Caenorhabditis elegans: one gene and its partners. The protein of the gene in region 2 interacts with the protein of the main gene of each other region in a pairwise test. Each region holds a gene or a part of one and is shown on either strand. Other genes may lie near its edges.

Region 1 (3,659 bases), on a different chromosome or scaffold from region 2:
GGGATTATGCTTCTGATTGTTTTTTTTATTTCCTGATTTAGGGTGATCAGTCAGAAGTTCAGAAAAAAGGTTGTAGGTACGAGGAAAACTTGATGCTTGAAACTTTTTATGGAATTGTGCTTTCTGACAACATCTTGGACACTGTGGAAAAGTCGCTCCTGGAGATCGAACTAATCCGAAAAATTTTCTAAGACCTTCATACTTTTTTAAAATTAAGATTAGATTTTATTTTAAAACACTTCTCCTCAAATTTCAAATTTCTAGACACTCCATTCGGTCAATTGCCAATTTTGGAAGTCGATGGAAAACCATTGGGACAGTCATATGCAATTGCTCGGTACTTGGCCAGAGAGTTCGGAATTGCTGGACAAAATGACACCGAGGCGGCAGAAGTGGATGCAATTGCTGATCAATTCAAGGATTATCTCAACGATGTCTCCCCATATTTAACAGTTCTTGCTGGATTCAAACCTGGAGACAAGGATCAACTGAGAACTGATGTTTTTGTTCCAGCTTTCAAAAAGAATTTCGAGTTTTTCGAGAACATTCTGGCATCTAATCACAGTGGTTTCTTTGTTGGAAACTCTTTGACATGGGTGGATCTTTTGATTTCGCAGCACGTTCAAGATATTTTGGATAAAGATTTGGCAGTTGTTGAGGAGTTCAAGAAGGTTTTGGCACATCGTAAGAAGGTTCAGAGCATCGACAGAATTCAGAAGTATATTGCAAACCGTCCAGATTACCCATTCTAAATTGAAATGAGTTTGCAATTTTGTATTATTTTTTAATTCATATTTCAAGAAGCAATTTTTTGCTAATTTGTTTTAATGGAAATCGATGTTTCTAAAATATCTTGAATGAATTGTTCTTTTAAAAATTTTATGGTAAAGTTTTCAGCAGGATGTTTCTATAGAAGCTTTTTGCATTGCAAGAGTGTTGAAATATACAGGATATTTACAAAAGCCTGGGAAGTAGGCATGCTTTTAGGTACAAATCAGACCTACACCGCCTTCCTTTGTGGTTTACCATCATAGCTAAAACTTTCCGAACATTCCCTGGTGAGACACAATGTTCAAAGCACAAAACCAATCACGTCATAATGTTAATTTGACTTTTATTGTCAAAAATTACAAAAGCGTCGTTTTCTGGAACATGAACATAATAAGAATTTTCAAATTTCGGTGGGCACAATAAATATGTAATCTTTTATTTATTTTTGGAGGATAGTCTTTTCAAAGGCAGGTGTATAACCCTCAAAAGAAAGCACGTTTGTGTTTCAAAGTGAGACTTAAATTATTTCAAAGACAAATTCCATAGGAAATCATTGTTCATCAGGCACCTTCCCAGAAATTAGGCTGTAGGCAGGCACGTAGGCTGCGGTAAATGCCTACGCCTCTTTTGCGCGAGATTATGAAATTGTGTTGTACTGTCGGAAAAATTTCAGAAACAAAAAAAAATATTTTTTGTGACTTTTTGTGTCAGTTATAGTAGTTTCTTATCATGGTATCTTCAATAATAATGGCAAGCGTAACAAGATGATTGATGCCATGGGTTTATATTTGTGAGTAGTCACAAATTGTGACACAACATTCCCTTCGAAAGATCTGGAAAAGTCACAAAACCTTGCATATATTTTTTTCAACCAATATTATTTTGACCTACTCTGTTCATCGTAACATTGCAACAACAAAAAACGATGACTACACTTTATGATTTCTAGTCAACAACGTGCGCGCAATGTGTAGAGCAAATGATGACAAACTACAGAATATGGTGAGTGGAGAGACGACAGACATTTGAGAAATGGGTATAAATAGAGACGGCCGGCATTCAGTGTTCAACCCTTCTCATCGACCACTCGATTTCTTGCTTGGTTATTTCAACAATGGTCCACTACAAGGTATCGTACTTCCCAATTCGTGGAGCTGGAGAGATTGCTCGTCAGATCTTGGCCTACGCTGGACAAGACTTCGAGGACAACAGAATCCCAAAGGAGGAATGGCCAGCTGTCAAGCCAAGTGAGTTTGGGATTGAAAATTATTGTTTGAATAGGTGCATAGATATTGAAATTGTTAGTTGAAATCTTATAAGTAGTTCCAAATTAAAAATTCATTTTAGAAATAGTTGCAGGCTTTTAGTTAAGCTGTCTTTGGTTTTATCAAAAAAATTTTGACTGACAAAATACGTGAAGAATATACTTTTAAATATTGTCAGTTAAACATTTTTTGATAAAAGTTAAGAGAACCGAGATGTAAGCCGTTAAAGTAGCAGGTACGGTATATTCCTTACCTTTCCTGTTCCTATTAACTAGGTCACACAAATTGCCTTTTTGCCTTTAGAGTAGATTGAAGTTGTTATTGAGTTACTTTTTGAAAGTTATTGAAATTTCGGTGTTCGAATGAATAGACCTTGAAAAAGGAAAAAAAAATTCAAGGCTAAACTCTAGGCAGTTTGACACCTAGAGATGTAAACAAAGTGCTTGGTATGACTGAGAGATAGAAGTTTGGAGTCAATGATTGTTTACTCAAAGAAAACTTTGAACTTTAGGTTTTAATTATATTATTTTTCAGGCACTCCATTCGGACAGCTTCCACTCCTTGAAGTTGACGGAAAGGTTCTTGCCCAATCTCATGCTATCGCCCGTTACTTGGCTCGTCAGTTCGGAATCAATGGAAAGTGTGCATGGGAGGAGGCTCAAGTCAACTCGGTTGCTGATCAATTCAAGGATTACCTCAACGAAGTTCGTCCATACTTCATGGTGAAGATGGGATTTGCTGAAGGAGATCTCGATGCTCTTGCCAAGGACGTCTTCCTTCCAGGATTCAAGAAGCACTATGGATTCTTTGCTAACTTCCTCAAGTCGGCTGGATCCGGATACTTGGTTGGAGACTCTTTGACCTTTGTCGACTTGCTCGTCGCTCAGCACACTGCTGATCTTCTGGCTGCCAACGCAGCTCTTCTCGATGAATTCCCACAATTCAAGGCTCATCAGGAAAAGGTTCACTCGAATGCCAACATCAAGAAGTGGTTGGAGACTCGTCCAGTTACTCCATTCTAAATGATTTCCAAATTCACATGGTCTCTTTATGTATTTTTGTATTGATATGGGATAAATGATTGCATTGAAATCTATTTATTCTGAAAAGTTCTCTAAAAAATAAGATAGCAGAAGCAACCGATATATTTGTTCAGACATCCGAATCATCATGAAAAGGCACTTTTTGAACTGAGTTGTCAGTAACATCTGCGCAGTGGGAAGAGTAAATGATGACAAACTTTAAAGTTTCCAATATACTCTTTATTTTAATGTACATTTATCTAATTCAACCAGTTCATTGAAACAGACATAACGCCAAACTATATTTGTGGTTTGTTGTCAGCAGAGTGCGATCAAAGCAGTGATGACTTAACAGTACACACACACTTAGAGAATATGAGTATAAATAGAAACTTCTTGGTTTTTATTTCAAACTGTATCACAGACTTGTACTCCCCAATTACTTGAAAAGTGGTAGTAATAATGGTCCACTACAAGCTATCATATTTCCCCATCCGTGGAGCTGGAGAGGTTATTCGACAGATATTTGTATATGCTGGACAAAGCTTTGAGGATCATAGAATTTCAATAGAGGAATGGGCAGCTGTCAAACCAAGTGAGT
Region 2 (5,888 bases):
CACAGACGTCTCAGAATATATATATGCTCCATCTTGTTTTATAGTTATTGATTTACTGCAATCAAAATATTTTATTTTCAGATATCACAATTCCAACGACGGCTGGAAGCAGTGCGGCAACAACTCCGAACGCTGCAATGCATCTTCCGTGGGCAATCTCACATGACGGGAAGAAGAAGCGACAACCGTACAAGAAAGATCAGATATCAAGACTTGAGTACGAGTATTCTGTCAATCAATATCTCACGAATAAGCGGAGATCAGAACTCTCTGCACAATTGATGCTTGATGAGAAGCAGGTCAAGGTCTGGTTCCAGGTATGTTATAGGCAGTATTCAGCGGAAAGTCTAGAGATCATAAATGTGAATTTTTATCTAATGTCCTAATGAAAAAAATTCCAGAAATTTTGGTAAATTCCCAAATTTCCTCATTTTTAAAAATTAATTTTGAGCTTCTCTGGATTTTCAAAAAACGAACATCTGAAAAATACTAAATTTCAATATTTTGAACATTTACAAGGTTTGGGCACTAATAATTGAAAAAATACAATATTTAGCGCCAGCCAAAACGAACTCGAAAAAATTGAAAAATTTTTTAAAATTTCCAGAAAAGTTTTGGCAAAATGCCAAATATTTAAACCTGTTCCGACCTCTAGAATGTTTTATAGGAATTTTTTTGGCAGACTTCCAAAATTATGACTTTCAAAAACTGAGTAATTGTCACTTTTCAAACTTGTCAAACTTGTCAAAATTTTCAAAATTTTTTTGGAAAAGTTTTGCTATCATTTTGGCACCACTGGAGTAGTTTTTAACAATTTCCTCACTGGCGCTAATCCATCAATAACCATACTTTAAAAGTTAAAAATTACTTTTCAGCACGTGGTGTCAGAGTATCCCATTTCGGATTGATCTACGTTGATCTACAAAAAATGCGGGATAAGAGGCGCAGAGTTCACAACTGATTTCACATGGTTAAGAACGTGCTGACGTCACCTTTTTTTAGGAAGAAATTCCCGCATTTTTGTAGATCACACCGTAATGGGACAGCCTGGCACCACTTTTTGTAGCCACACTTTTTTGAACTAAAGTAACATTCGTAATTAATTATCAGAGTGCAAATAAATAAGTTGGACATTTGTGAATTCACGTAAAAATGGAAATGTGCAAAAAGGAGGCAAAAGGTGAGCAGGTTTCAGGCAGGCATCAGGCCTTGAAACCGCATCTGCCTACCATGAGAAATAATTGAAAACTTTAGAAACCTGAAACCGCGCCTGAACATTGTCAAAAACCGTAAATATGTTGTTTTGTCTAAACTCCAACCATTTTAACATTGCATGAATTGTTTTGCTTTCTCTTAACTTCACTGTTTCAGAATCGACGAATGAAGGACAAGAAACTGCGTCAACGACATTCCGGGCCATTCCCCCACGGTGCTCCAGTCACTCCGTGCATCGAGCGATTGATCAACTGATTTTCTCTATTTACACAAAGTGTTCTAACTAATGATTTTTTTCTGATTCTTATTCATTATTCAATTTGCTCTCTTCTCTCTCAATTTCATAATTTTTGTCCCAAATCTCGTTTGCACAGGGTTGTGTTTTTAGCCCATTCTTCGTTCTCTCCAACCGGTACCTAGACACCGTTCACTATATTTTTTCCCTTATTGTTTGTCGTCCTCTTTGACTCTTTTTTCGATTCAAGTTCAACTTTCTTTTTCCTTTTTCATGATTTAATAACTCTTTTTTTTCAATTGGCAAGGCACCCATAAAGTTGTTTCGTTTTTCTCTGTACGTGTATGTCTGTCAGTGTATCCTGTACTTCCTGTACTACTTGCTCCTCCGTCGAGCCGATGTTCGTTCTCTACCCCCCAGCAATGCCACAGAGAAAAGCACCACTTTTGGGTCTTTGCCAAACCTGTTTTTGTTTTCCGCTAACAACCTCGTTTTACCCCCGACCTTACCACTTTTCTTTAGTATCTCTCCCCGCTGAAACCCCAAAAATAGTGCTTTTCTTGCAGGCTTGCTCACGGTAGACAACGCCCGAACATCAGCGAGCTCCCGTCATCATCCTAATGATTTCGGTGATGCAACAGATGATGAACAATTCTAATATGCCACCCCCATTTGTGAAGAGCTCTGATTCTCATGAAACTCATGATGAATCACCGACGTCTCCGTTCATTAAACGTTCGGATTCTCCTGCAACAACGTCTTCGGCGGCAGCAGCAGCAATGCAACACAACTTTTGGTCGACAAGAGCTGCACAACTGCAGCAATCTGTATCTGGATCATCTGGTGTTTCTAGTGGTTCCAGCAGTTCTGCATCGAACAATTTATCAAGGACACAAGCGGACAATCATTCGGAACGAGGATCCGACACTGCTTCCAGTCCTCAGGTTGCACCACTCCCAACGAGGTTTGTTAAGTATTTTAAATATCGCGGTCAAGTGGAAACTTTTTAATTTTAACTAGAATACAAATTTGACAATTACCACAACTTCGGCAATAGATAGCCAAATTTTTGCCCATTTCCATAAGCATGAAGTTCCTAAACGCCTAATTTTCTTTCGGCAACTTCAGCGGCCGGCCCCGAAAAATTTCGAATTATAAATAGCCTTGATAATCAGGGGTGGGCGGCAAACGATTTTTTACGGCAAATCGGCAAATTGCCGGAATCAAAAATTTCCGGCAAATCGGCAAATTGCCGGAATTGAAAACTTCAGGCAAATAGGCAAACCGGCAAATTGTGGTTTTGCAATTTTTTTTTCGAAAATTCAGAGTTTCAATTTTAATGGGCAAAATTTTACGCATTCTATGAATGCTCCTACATTTATTTTGAAAATCAAAAAAGCCGGCCACTCGGCAAATTGGCAAATTGTCAGAATCAAAAAATTCCGGCAAATTGGCGAAATTGTAACTTTCGGCCTATCGGCAAACCGGCAAATTGTGGTTTTGCACATTTTTTTTGGAAATTTCAAAAGTTCAATTTTAATGGGCAAAATTTTACGCATTCTATGAATGCTCCTACATTTAATTTGAAAATCGAAAAAGCCGGCCACTCGGCAAATTGGCAAACCGGCAATTTGCCAATTTGCCGATTGCACAAAAATTGCCGAAATTTTTTCGAAAAATTGGAAGCTCGGCAACTTTTAGGCTGCCAGTTGTCGATAGTTGCCGATAGTTTTCAGAAGTTATTGAACTTTCTGAAAATTTGTTAAACAGTGTCAACATTTGTCGAAAGTGGTCGATAGCTGCGGATAGTTTTCAAAAAATGCCAAAAATTGCCAAAAATTGCCGATAGTTACCGAAAATTATTGATTTGTTTTGAAAAGTAGCCAAAATTTGCCGAAAGTTGTTTTTTTTTAATTTTAAGATATACAAAAAATACCCCGACATTATAAATTTCATATTCTTAATTCAATAAGTACACGTAGTGCCAGACTGTCCCATTACGGTTTGATCTAGAAAAAATGCGTGATTTTTTTTGCCCAAAAAATGTGACGTCAGCACGTTCTTAACCATGCAAAATCAGTTGAGAACTCTGCCGCATTTTTTGTAGATCTACGTAGATCAAGCCGAAATGAGACACTGTGACACCAAGTATGTGTTCTCAACACAAAAACCAATAAAATCAATTTCAGCAGTGGTATGTCAATGCCAGCAGCGGCTGCAGCCGGAATGTACCCATTCAATGCTGGTCGATTTCCAACAGAGTTTAATATGATGGTTAATCAATCAATGTACAATGATTTCTATTCAAATAGTCTTGCTGCATCTTCTTGGCCATACTCTTATCCACAACAATATCCGTTTGCAAACTACTCAATGCCAAGTTTAGATGGAAATTTGAATGGTTTGTTAAAGTTTTTAAGCTTTTGAAGTTTTTTTGAAAATTTTTATTTCAGACGGTGGTCAACTAGAATGGACGTCCTCTTCACACGCAATGCGTAAAAAGAGGAAGCCGTATACGAAAGCGCAGACATTGGAGTTGGAAAAAGAGTTTTTGTACAATACCTACGTCAGTAAGCAGAAGCGGTGGGAACTTGCAAAGTACTTGCATTTGACTGAGCGACAAGTCAAAATTTGGTTCCAAGTGAGTATTTTTGGCTTCCATGGTAGGCAGGCGCGGCTTCGGGGCCTGCCTGAAACCTGACCGCCTCTTTTTTGCATTTTGACGTGAATTTTCAAATTTCAAATGTGATGAAAATAAAATTAATAGATGAAAAAGCGCAGATTGAGGCGATAGGCAGGCGAAGGTCGCCTTGAGGCCAGGCAGGCAGGCAGGCTACACGGATGCCCTACTTATTATTAAGATGTTTCATTCCAAATGGACAATTTGATTCAATAATCGTATAACTGCGTGTATCAGAAATTCTGCATCTATTGATTACTAAGAAAACACTAGATTCCGAGGATGCGTTTTGCGCAAAATATCTCGTAGCGAAAACTACAGTAATACGGGCTCGAGTTTTAAAATGGATTATTAATTTATCGATAGAATATTATTATTAAACAAAAGAAACAAATTAATATAGCTCACGTGGTGCCAGGCTGACCCATGACGGTTTGATCTACAAAAAATGCGGGAATTTTTTGCCCTAAAAATGTGACGTTTGAACGTTCTTAACCATGTAAAATCAGTTGAGAACTCTGCCGCATTTTTTGTAGATCAACGTAGATCAATCCGAAATGGGACACTCTGACTCCACGTGATAGCTGTCACAATTCAAAAAAAAAGTTAGTTTCGAAAATTGAGCTCGTAAGTCGACACTACAGTAGTCATTTAAAGAGTAGTTTTCGCTATGAGATATTTTGCGCGTCAAATATGTTGTGCAATACGCATTTTCAGAATTTTGACTTCCAGTAATATTTATATTATTTTCAGAACCGACGAATGAAAGATAAGAAGCAAAAGCAACGAACATCTGGAGATCCAACTGGAATGCTGATGCCACCTGGATTGGATTAACTCGAAATACTTTATTGTAATTGCCCCACCTCACGCGGTGCCTTTCTGTCCCATTACGGTTTGATCTACAAAAAATGCGGGAATTTTTCGCCCAAAAAATGTGACGTCAGCACGTTCTTAACCATACGAAATCAGTTGAGAATTCTGCCGCATTTTTTGTAGATCTAAGTAGATCAAACCGACATGTGACACTCTGACACCACGTGCCACCTGGGTCTAAATTTGCCAAAAACCATACCAACTTGAAATGTTTCCTGAAAAGTTTTCTGTTTCCTTTTAGGTGAATATTGAACTTCTTTTTTTTTCTTCCATCTCTCTCTCTCAACCTTAGCTCAAATGTTCTACTTCATTATATCACCACCATTGATCCGCATTTAATAAATTCAATTTACCGGTACAAACTACTTTACTCTCCTCAATATATTCCCTCAATAATCTTTTTTTTAATTTTAACTTTTTTTTGTATCGGATTTTCTGAAAAAACAAATTTTTTAAACAGTTTTTTTGAATCTTTCAAAAGTTAGATTGTGTTTCGCCATTTACACGGATTTCTGGCTTCCCTCATAAATTGAAATGGAAGAGTTTGCCGAACTAGGCCATTATGGCTCGGCCACATCTGGGGTAGATTTACGGTGCGTTGCGTGTCGCGTCGCGGCTCGATTGTAAAACTAAATGTAATTGTCCGTGTGGAGTACACGACACTTTTCCACGCGTTGTCCGACAGGCGATTGTCAATGGAGCGCGAAAAATTCAATGAGGAAGGCCAGAACCCCGTGGTGGACCTAAATTTTCACAAATTTTGAACAAAATGGGCCTAAATATTCACAAATTTTGAGCAAAATGGGCCTAAATTTTCACAAATTTTGAGCAAAATGGGCCTGAATTTTCACAAATTTTGAACAAAATGGGCCTTAATATTCA
Region 3 (3,112 bases), on a different chromosome or scaffold from region 2:
ACTTAACCATTTCCAACTATAGTTTTCATTTTAATACAAAAACTAAACTTAGATTGATTTTTTAAAATTTTCGAAACACTGTGTGTTCCAAATATATGTATAATTACAAATTTGAAAACAAAAAAGTCAAAATTTATTTTTTAAAAATATTTCAGATTCAAAGCCTTTATAAAATTTTGAGACAGATGGGTAGAACACAGATAGGAAAAGAATTTTATTACTTTGTAAAATAATAGAAAATGACAAACGATAATTGCCAAAAATATGGAAAAATAGAGGAAATATTGAGCATTAGGGAATTTAAAAATTAATATAAGATAACAGGATTAAAAAATTCATTGAAGAAGAGCTGAGCAATGCCAATTTGGCAATAAACTTGTTGAGTCCAGAGCAAATGCACGAAAAACGTCCGATTGAACATTCAGGTCAATGGTAATATTTTCCATTTTATTTGATTGATTTGAAGAAGTTGAGTTCATAGATCTGTGGATGAACTGACACCTGATTCCGTACTTGCAATGCCCAGTTGTTGAGAAGTTATTGCAAAGTACTGTTTTATAGTTACGGTGGTTTCTTTTGGTCTGTGGGAAGCGGAGCTCATGTACACTGTGAGCAAATTTACATTTTTCACCATAAGCACATTTTTGGCCTCTTCTGTGAAAACCACAAAGGGATGTCTTGAATGCTTCTTCTTTCTTTTTCAAACTCTTCATTTCTTGGTGAAGCTCATCTGGAATTGTGCAGGGATCTCGGTTGGCCAATGATTGATTAGAAAACAATTTTTGTTCAGTTTCATTTTGATTCACAAAAAGTGAGAATTGGGCTTCTTCATAAGATCCTGATGAAGATGGTGGAGAAAGCAATGGAGGGGTAGTTCCAGCTGGGAAAGCACATTTCAGAAGGAAACTGGAGAGAGAGTTTTCTTGGTTGCTTGCTTCAACAGACATTGTAGAAGTTTTGGGTAGTTTCTGGAAAAAAATAATGAAAAACGATATCAAGAGAAGAATTTGGTAGAACGATTAAAAAGAAGTAAAAATTAGTGAAAAAGTGGAAAGTCAAAGATTAAAATGGTTTCGTCTAACTGGATCCTAGCAGAGTTTCAGAAAGATATTTAAAAAAAACAAAAAAATTACTGCTTCAAACATGTATTATATGAAACATAGTGGTCATAGTGTATTGAATAATATTTTCTGTCTAATACAAAACATAGAAATAACATTTTAGAAAACAACAGTTATTAAAAAATTAAAGTAGCAAAAAAGGATCAACCACTCATGATGAGAGTAAAATGTGTGAATGACATATTTGGCAGTCTATCTTCCGGAAAAAGAATGAACGCTGCAACAGCATCTAATCGATAGCAAGCTCCGCCCATTTACAGGCCACACTCTCTGTGAAAAGGAGACGATATGTACCAGTAAATGGGCGGAGCCTAACCTAGCTATCGATTGGATAAAGTTTCAGCGTTCAAGAGGTTGCCTGATGACAGGATGACAATTGTGTCATTCATGCAAACAACTGTCATCCTGGGCGGTCGTTTTCTCATTTTTTCGCTAAAATATTGTTTTTTTTTGTATATTTTTCATTTTTGCCCGACTTGTAACGGTATCTAAAACTTTTCTTTGTTGCACTGTATATTTTGTATGTCTATTGAAATCTCTACTTTGAATGCTATTTTGCCTTATTAAGGATCAATTAAAAATTGAGTTAGAAGTTTTTTCTGAGATTTTTGTTAACTAAAACAGTTTAACTTTCAGAAACCCCTCAAAATGTCTAATCCACTTGCCGTTGACGTCCCAACTTTTACCAAATTGCACAATGTTGCTCAGTGGCTCTCTCAGCAGCCACCTTCTCCAAGACTGTTTGATCAGAAAGAAAATGGCTTCTCGCAGAATTTTCAACCATTCTTGAAGACAGTAAACTCATGCACAATTCCTGACGATCTCCACGAAGAAATGATGCGATTGAAAAGAAAAGAAAATGCATTCAAAACTGCTCTTTGCAAGACGTTTCAGCTCACACGAGCATGCTCATACGGGGAGCAGTGCAAATTTGCTCACAGTGTCGAGGAGCTGCAGCTGAAACAGAAGGTAAACTTTGAGCTCAATGAAGTTTTAATTTAAGTGTTAAATTTTTCAGAACCGTGGAGTCAACCACCCAAAGTATAAGACAGTTCTCTGTGACAATTTCTCTAGAACTGGACACTGCAAATATGGGACAAAATGTCAGTTTATTCACAGAGCTGTTGAGCCAACTCCAGCTCAAAATCCACTGATGCCCCAGTTTTCTTCATGGTTTGCTCCTTCATCGGGTCTTTCTCGGGAGTTTCTTGACAATTTTGGAGCATCTGCATCCAGCTCTAGCACTGACTTCTCTTAACTTTATTCTTTCATAATTTGTTTTATTCCTAATAACTTTTAATTATTGTTAATTTTCTATAATTACCATTATGTTTCTAAATTAATTTTTATCTGGAAATTTCTGGGGTTTTTGTCGAATCCACATTTATTTTTGACACTTTTCAAATTTTTCTATTCTGAATCATTTTTGAATAAAATTTATATTTTTCTTCGCAAAATAGTATTTGTCATGAAATAATTTTCCAATTTATTTATTACGGGAGTTACTTTTTTTTTAATTTGGAAAAAAACGGCACTGTTTCATCTAGTTTTTAAATTTGAACGTTTTTTTATTATTATTACTATACGATGTTCTCTTAAAAACAAAAATTTCTATCAAAATTTAAGTTAAAGTTAGAATTGAAATTTGACTCATTTTCTCATTCACATGGCACCAGAATGTCAATGCTGTGACGTCTCAGTGTTTTTTCCAGAATTTTATTTAAATGCAAACCTATGCGAACCCTGTGGCACTCAGTTGTCCTAAACAAAAAAGTGAAAAAAATCTAATTTTTCATGATTTCAAATTGTATATTTATAAAAAATACATATTTTTAAAGTTTAATCTTCGTATTGAGAACGTCTTAGTTGTAAATATGTACATTCAAAAACTACATGAAACTGTAAAGTTTTTTTTTGATAAAGTACATTTTTTTCTAAAAAAAAAACAATTTCTATTTAAAAACTGAAGAATTATCAATTTCACTGATCAT
Region 4 (7,760 bases), on a different chromosome or scaffold from region 2:
TTGAAATTTTTTTTGAGCAAATTTTGAAGCCATTTTAACTTTGCCAATTTGCAAGCTATCAAAAAGTAGTTCACTAGTAAATTATAGAACTAAAATTTTACTACATTTTATTAGTTAAAAAGTTTCTGACAGCTGTTTTAGTTTTGGAGATACATGAGTTTTAAAATTGTAGATTTAAAAAATTTGAAAAACATTTTTCAAAATTTTCAAACCCCTGTAATTCTGAAACTATGAGACTTGTCAAAAAGTTGCCAACTAACAAAATTTAGCAAATTTCTTGTCAATTAATTTTTTAGTTGACAATTTTTTCTATGTTCATTTATTTTGAAGCTAGAGAGCCACAACTATATAGAATTTTATTTTTTTGAATCAATTTTCTCCAACTTTTCAAGTATTTTACGCATTATTCATACCTTAAAAGTGACATTTATTACGAAAAAGTGATAAGGGGGTACCCTATGGCAAACATGTACTCCTCCTCCTCACTCACGTTCCGTTTTTGCTCTCACTTTATTTGCTCTCTGTCTTTGCTTTTTCTTGTGTTTTTTTTTTGTGAATTTTGCTCCGTTTTCCGCTAGTTTTCCTTTTCGACTACCGAAAAAGAGCATTTTCGGTGATAAAAAATTACTTTGCAAAATTTTGCTAAACTAGAAAAAAACATTTTGTGAGGGAATTTTTTGCTGAAAAATATGAAGTTTCTTAAAACAAGAAAAGCTTTTAAAATCTATTAAAACTTTAAGTTTTTTTAAAAATCATTTTTAAATTTTATAAATATAAAATTATTTAATTTTTAACCACCTTTTCGAAACATTGATATCTTTAACTATTATCATATTTTCAACAAATTTTTCATATTTTGTTAAATTGTAAAAATAAAATTTAAAATATGATAATAGGAAAAGATTTCAACGTTTCAAAAATGTGGTTAAAAATGAAAATTAAAAAAAAATCTTAAATTTGTTTTACTGTTACATCTTTAAAAACTACAAAATTTATTTCAAAATTTATTTTTGAAAATTGTTTAAACTAAGCAAATTTAAAAAAGTTTTAAATCACTCCAACTTCAAAAAAAATTAAAAATTGTTGTGGTTTTTTTTATTTTTAGTTTGAACTTCCATATTTCAAAAACTACTGAATTAATTAAAAAGTTGTCAACTAACAAAATAAAGGAAATTTTTTGCTTAACATTTTGTAAATTGACAACTTTTTGATAACTTTTCACAAATTTGAGGTATGGTAGTTTTTTCTTTTATAACTTTTTATTGGTGGCAGCTATCAAAAAGTTGGCAACTAAAAAAATGGTGCAAATGTTATGCTTAACATTTTGATAGTTGACAATTTTTAAAAATCTTCAGTTTCCCAGAAGTTATGCCACTTTTTCTCTCCCCCCCCCCCTCCTCGAGTTCTTCCTTGTTTTCATCTATTTTCGGCCCTTTTTCCAAAATTCATTGGATTGATTCTTTCCAATGTTTTTCAATGTTTTTTTCATGGTGTTCGGTTTTAGGATTTTAATTGAAAACACACACCCTGGTGTCTATTTTGTCTATTTTCCCGAAAAAAAAATCCGAAAATAAAATTTTCCCCCTTCTTTCTGTCTCGACGCTCTATAAATTCAATTTCCCTCTTTTTTTCTCACTTTTTCTATTTTTTTTTCACTACTGTACAGCTCTTTAAACTGCGGTTATTTTTGGAAATTTCAGCTAATTTCAAGATTTTTTTTCAGTGTCATATTCTTCCCATGCGGAGCAAATTGTACAAAACATGAAAATTGAAGGTTGGTTTTGATTTTTTTAATTTAGAAAATGCTAATTTTAATTAAAAATACATATGTATGCTGGTTACTAAAAAAATTTCAAAAAAATTTTCCAATTTTCAAAAAAAAAATTTTTTCGAGATTTTTTCAAACTTTCATATCTCCAAAACTACGAGAGCTATTAAAATGTTGCCAACTATCAAAACATAGAAAATTGTGTGATAAACATTTTCATCGTTGACAAAATTTTGATAGCCTTGCTCTCCGCAGAGTTAGAGGAGCCTGAAGTTTGTTGGTACTGCGTTCAGGCTGACTGGAATCTTATAGGGTAACAACTATAGGTTTTAAGGTACTTTTACAGTAAAAATTAATAAAATATTGCTCTTTACAATGTCATAAGTAAAATTTAGAAAAAAACCACAATTTTGAACATTTGAAAGTTTTTGACCAAAAATGTTTTTTTTTCTCAAAAAACATATTTCTCCAAAATTTCTAAAATTTTGCTCACAATCAGACTTTAAATTTCATCCAAATCTATTCCAAACTCTCTAACTATGCCAATTGATGACGTAAACTCTAACCCAAGCTTCTGGGGTGGAAAAGTAATTAAATTTTAGTATTGTGGTGCACCCGCCTGGAAATTGGAAATTGGATGTGTTCCATGCTCCTCTAAGAGAAAAGAGGGCCGTAAAAATAAAAGTACAAATGTATTCCCAAAGGGTTTGTCTAAATTTGGAGGAGAAAAAAAAAATTTGTTCGAATCTCAAAATATAAAATTTCCAATTATAAATTAAAAATTTGCACTTTTGGATTAGTATATATTGAAAATTTCAGAGCCGTAGCTTAACTTTGCACTGAGTTATAAGGCTTCAAAGTATCTAGTTCAACCGCGACGCAACCGCGCCGCACCTACTTAACTTCAAAGCCCTGTAACTCAGCTCAAAATTGACCTACAGCTTTGAAATTTTTTCTCAGAGCTGATTTTAAATTAAGCTTTCATTATCGTTAGCAACCAATTCATTGGGCCGCGACGCAACCGCGTCGCTTCAACCAAATTTTGAAACTCCTTAACATATAGCAACCTTTCCCATTTTTCAGTGGTATCGGCACTACCGCACTCGACGGTCCATTCGGCAGTCCTTTCGCGTCGACACCGCTCCGTCATCTGCGCGGGACCATACGAAGTGCTTCCACTGGAGGGGTGTTCTGAGCCGGTAAGTGTTCTTTTTGTAGTCCAGGGCCATCTGCTTATAATGAGTGGGACCACATGTTGCGAGTCTCTTTCCAGAGCAATTATTCATTGTTTTGGGGCGTTTTTGGGGTCAGACGGATATAAAAGGATTATCCAGATTTTTAAAAAATCTTACATTGTTCACAGTTTGCAGTCAAACTTTGGAAAAAACCTAAATTACAGTGTCAAAAAATTTCAGAGCTCTCGGTCTTTTGAGAGCTAAGATATGAAGCTTTAGAATTTTGACCAGGCGTTGCGGTCGCGTCGCGGCCACCTCCTAAACTTTAAAGCTTGATAAATTTGCTCACCAAGGTCCTAAAGCTCTGACATTTTTGCAGAAGCCTCAAAATTACATGTACTATTCAAATATCTAGCTTTAAACTTTTTAAGCAACAAAAAAAATTTTCGGCCACCCATTTAATTTCCTCCTCTTCCGATCTTCCCCCACCCCGTATAATCCTCTTTGTACCTAACGAGCCGTCAATAATCCCCTCGGCACTTTCGCTGCTTATCGAACCGTAGTTGTCAATTTGAGAAGTGTTACTGTCTCTGCGTCTCGCCTCTCTAATAACAAGATTCTGCCCAGCGATAAGTTTTGATCCGGAATTCTCATGGGGATGCGAACATTGAAAAAGGGTGTGAAAGGGTTCCATATCTAGATGATTGATCTGCTGGGCAGGGAATTTGAAAAGTCTTTGGGAAGGGGGAGCTGGAAAATTTTCAATAGGTTCATAACTTGACAGGAAATGTTGAAAAGAATAGCTCTAGCCGATCTAAAACTTCAGAAAAAATTTCAGAGCTCTGGCACGCTTTGGAGCATAGTTATGGTGCATCGAAAATTGGCGCATGCGGCGCGGTCGCGTCGCGGTTATCTAACTTGGCTCAAAATGGTCCTAGAGCTCTGAAATTTTTTGAGTGACTCTGTTAAGTTTACCACATTCTAATTTTCTATAAAAGCTTGAAATGTACCTATTTATACAAAAACAAATTTTTCAGCTCCCAAGCACCTCAACTCTCAGTGAGCTACCCATCGAGTGCCTCCGACTCTCCACAGATGAACGGACGATCGGTGCGGCGACAAATGCGATTCTCAAAGTTGCGGATATTATAACAGGTCACGAGGTGCGGAATCTAACGGGACACACCTTGCCAATAACCTCCCTAGCCGCTAGCAAGTTCAACCCTTACTGCTGGTACACCGGGTCATCGGATTGTGATTGGACGCAGTGGGATACTAGGATGAATCCGTCTAAAGTGAGTTGAAAAGTGCAAAAATACTATCCAAAAAGTGTCCAAGCTTCAAATCCTCTGTGATACCGAGCCGCGACGCAACCGCGACGCGTGCCCAAATTTTTATCAAAAATGGCAGATAAATACTAGATAACACTATTGGCCAAATTTCACACCTCCGACTCAATTGTGAGCAAAGCTTTGACATTTTAAAAATTGAGGTAGACCGCGACGCGACACGCGACGCACTGCCGAAATTTTATGGCACCGTAACTTTGCTCCCAGTCGTCGTAGGATTTTGAAACTTTTTGTGAAAGCATTCTCTAGAAACAGACTTTTTTATAGACTTTCAACGCGCGTTGTAAAAGAAACTTTCTAATTTTGAAGATCGACCGCGACGCGACACGCGACGCACGCCCAAAACTTCAATACCACATAACTTAGCCCATAGTGGTCCAAATTTTCTGAAACTTTTTGTAATCACCATATCTGAAATAAAGCAGTTTTTTAAAGCGTTCCCAAATTTTCTGAAACTTTTCAAAATATAATGATTTTCAGATTTTCGGGTCCAAAACCCCTGGCGTTGTTCGAAGTATCGCATTATCACCTGGTGATCGCTATGTAGCAGTTGGCACCGACGAAACTATACAGATTTTCGACGCCAGGCAGCGGGAATTTATCAAAACTTTTAACTGTTCGGTAGGTGCTTTTCACTGGAATTTCTGACCATTTTTAAAAAATCAAATTTTGCAGGGTCACGCACTAGAGCTTCACCCCAGCGATGTGCTCCTCTCCTCCGTTGGTCATGATAGGATAGTTCGGTTTTTCTGCCTAGAGACTTTTGAAATGATATCTCAATCCGATCCGTTTCTGGATGATATTCAAGCCAGCGCTTTTGATAGTAAGAATTATATTTAATTTTGGGCCAAAAACATCAAAAAATTGAATTTCAGCCCACGTCATGATAGCTGCTACCAATGATTCTATCAACCTGCTCACTTGGGAGCCCTGCTGTGATATTCTAACGACAGTACCTCTGAAAAATGTGGAGAAGGTAGGGATAGTAACTTGACAACACTTTTGGCTCACTGAAAAATGTGAGCAAAAAGTGTTGTCAGTGTGTGCTCTAGTATTAAAGATCCTGTAACTTGCGTACCAGTTGACGTAGAGTCTTCAAATTTTTAGACGACACTTGTAAGCTTTCACCCACGCGTTGCGGTTGCGTCGCGGCTTGGCCATCAAATTTCTTAGCTCTGTAACTTAGCCAACTAGTAGTCCTATAGACTTGAAACTTAGTCAAAAAGTCACATCGGAAAGCAAATTCCTATCTTATTTTCATGAATCCAAATTTCTAAAAATGTTCATTTTAAGGCATTAACCCAACATTTCAACGCCAGTTATGATTGATTATTTTTTGGCGGAGATTCCAATCTTCTTCCCTTTGTTATGAATTCCATGCCATTTCAGGTCGTCAACGTGAATGCAAACGGTCTGGATTTAGACTTTATTTGCATTGGAGACAACACTGAACGTCTCGAAATGCGCACCTACGCTATAGAAGAGCTGCTCTCCTATTCGCCGAGCCACGAGCTCTGCGGGAGCATTTACGAGGAGGATGAGGATGTGGATAACTCGCCGATTGATGAGGTATTAGCTTTGGGTTTGTACTTGGGGTTAATGTAGGAATTTTCCAGGTAAAAGCGCTACCGGAGCTCACAGAGTTATCGAATTTGCCGCCGAGGTCGCCTGGCTTGTCATGTGAAGAGACGGAGACGTCAGCGTCACCTGTGAATAGTAGCAGCAGCCATTCTAGCCCGACTAGTCCCGTTAAGGTAAGAATAAATTTTTGTCAGAGGCCCATATCTTAAGTACGGACTGCTTCTGGGCCAGTTTAAAAGGCTTCCGAGTCTCATTTTATTGGCCTAAAAACTCGTAAGCTGTCTCAAGTCGTTAGTCTCAATTGCAATTTTCCAGTTTTAGACCAAAGTCTGTATCTAAGTTCAATCCCCTCAATCTTCCTCACAAGACAGTCTTTGAGCTTTGTAAAACCTAAAAGAGCTCTCCATATATTTTCAAACCCTCTAGGGAGTTCCCTCTCCCCTGCTCCAACAGCCGCAGCTTGACATCCAACCTCTTAAATCTTACAGCCAGCTCCCGTCAAACACCGATCGGCATCTCAGAAGCTTCCTGGAAAATCGACCAAGACCCTGAACCCAAAACCAGCGGGGTCCACACGCTCTGTGACCCCAGTCTCCACAAAGCCACCTCGAACATTTGGCACCGCAAAGAGTGTGATTGTCTCGTCGAAGCCATCACTAAGCGGGTACAATAACCGCGCGAATCCGTCGCCTTCTATGTCGGATTTGAGGACGACAAAGTCGATGGCAGGGTCTACGACGTCTTTGTTGAGTGAGAGGGCTCCGAAGAAGCGGTCAACGTCGAGCCGGTAAGCAGGACTAGAGGAAGTAAAGTTTCAAAACTCTAAAACTTTCCAATTTTCCAGCCGTAACCAAGAGCCCATCACCATCACCTACATTGGCCGCCCACGTACCCCTAGCGAAGGAGACGTCGCATCTACAGTATCCTCCTCCACATCCCGCAACCGTCGCCCATCGCCTTCCGTGGCGAAGAAGACCTCCCCTCCGTCAATCTACGCGATCACCTCTTCCCCGGCCAAGCGTGCCTCCTCCACCGCTTCAGGGCCTACTGCCAGACGCCAGAATTCCACGTCATCGGTGACCTCTACCACGTCGGCCAAGACGCCTGTAGGGGTCTGGGGAGCTTGTATAGAAACTGTACATGACATCGGGATAGTTGCGAAGAAGGAGAATAGAAGTGAGTTATTTAGGATCTAGCTTGAAGCGTTAACTACTGGAATTCAGACATCCGACGGCTCAAGATGCTTACCTCCCGTCGAACGAGCAACGTGGATATCCCTCCAGAAGTGTGCTCCGATGAGCAACTAGTGTTAACCGCCACGAGGATACTGAGCAGGAGGAACGATTGGTCATTGAACAGCTGTCATGCCTACCTTCCAGTCATAATAGGTAATCTTGCTTGGTAGTGAAGGTCGTAATGATGTTTTGAACTTTCAGACAACATAGCCAGTGTAGACGTTACAAATCGAGCTATAGCCCTGGAGGGTCTCGCAGCGATCGCTGACACCCTGGGGGAGAGGCTCGTGAAGTTTGCGTCCATGAACTCCCATAGGATAGGAGTAGATGTGGCGGCGGAGGAGAGGGCCGAGAAGGCGAAGGCATGTGTTCAGGTAGGCATCTTGTAGGGGTTTTGCCCTTATTAACCCTACAAATAATTCCAGCACCTCCGCTCCCTGGTCAAAAAACGCGACTGGTACTACAAACAACTCGACGAGCCATCCATTCTCAAACTCGACCCGATTCTAGAGCTTTTAAAGAAGATCTAGCTACCTCATCTGTGATATATTGTTAAGCATTCCCACCACCACTCGCATTTTTGTTCTTTTGTCTTGTCTTTCAGTCATTTGGGTCAGAGATTTTCAGGTTTCTCTACGAATTCCCTCTTTTT

Evidence for each region.
Region 1: the proteins of php-3 (region 2) and gst-7 interact in a two-hybrid assay, tested with the Caenorhabditis elegans proteins (one large-scale study listed by BioGRID).
Region 3: the proteins of php-3 (region 2) and ccch-2 interact in a two-hybrid assay, tested with the Caenorhabditis elegans proteins (one large-scale study listed by BioGRID).
Region 4: the proteins of php-3 (region 2) and F47G4.4 interact in a two-hybrid assay, tested with the Caenorhabditis elegans proteins (one large-scale study listed by BioGRID).

The regions. Positions count from the first base shown.
Region 1 is NC_003280.10:4,880,234-4,883,892, forward strand, and holds gst-7 (putative glutathione S-transferase 7), read left to right. Parts: upstream 1-1,858; 5' UTR 1,859-1,885; coding exon 1,886-2,018; intron 2,019-2,570; coding exon 2,571-3,058; 3' UTR 3,059-3,125; downstream 3,126-3,659. Other genes in the region: gst-6 (putative glutathione S-transferase 6), read left to right, coding at 265-752; gst-8 (putative glutathione S-transferase 8), read left to right, coding at 3,521-3,653.
Region 2 is NC_003281.10:12,073,685-12,079,572, reverse strand, and holds php-3 (Homeobox protein php-3), read left to right. Parts: upstream 1-2,016; 5' UTR 2,017-2,070; coding exon 2,071-2,414; intron 2,415-3,639; coding exon 3,640-3,851; intron 3,852-3,903; coding exon 3,904-4,091; intron 4,092-4,883; coding exon 4,884-4,967; 3' UTR 4,968-5,355; downstream 5,356-5,888. Other genes in the region: Homeobox protein nob-1, read left to right, coding at 82-317, 1,372-1,470. UniProt on the Caenorhabditis elegans protein: Probable transcription factor, involved in posterior embryonic patterning, morphogenetic movements of the posterior hypodermis, and cell fate specification. May regulate expression of transcription factor dmd-3.
Region 3 is NC_003282.8:16,276,445-16,279,556, forward strand, and holds ccch-2 (C3H1-type domain-containing protein), read left to right. Parts: upstream 1-1,757; 5' UTR 1,758-1,769; coding exon 1,770-2,090; intron 2,091-2,139; coding exon 2,140-2,379; 3' UTR 2,380-2,566; downstream 2,567-3,112. Other genes in the region: F38C2.7 (C3H1-type domain-containing protein), read right to left, coding at 336-947.
Region 4 is NC_003279.8:14,062,767-14,070,526, reverse strand, and holds the start of F47G4.4 (WD_REPEATS_REGION domain-containing protein), read left to right. Parts: upstream 1-1,723; 5' UTR 1,724-1,761; coding exon 1,762-1,774; intron 1,775-2,851; coding exon 2,852-2,967; intron 2,968-3,980; coding exon 3,981-4,238; intron 4,239-4,772; coding exon 4,773-4,913; intron 4,914-4,967; coding exon 4,968-5,115; intron 5,116-5,167; coding exon 5,168-5,268; intron 5,269-5,681; coding exon 5,682-5,861; intron 5,862-5,908; coding exon 5,909-6,046; intron 6,047-6,361; coding exon 6,362-6,660; intron 6,661-6,717; coding exon 6,718-7,049; intron 7,050-7,096; coding exon 7,097-7,261; intron 7,262-7,309; coding exon 7,310-7,482; intron 7,483-7,533; coding exon 7,534-7,638; 3' UTR 7,639-7,760.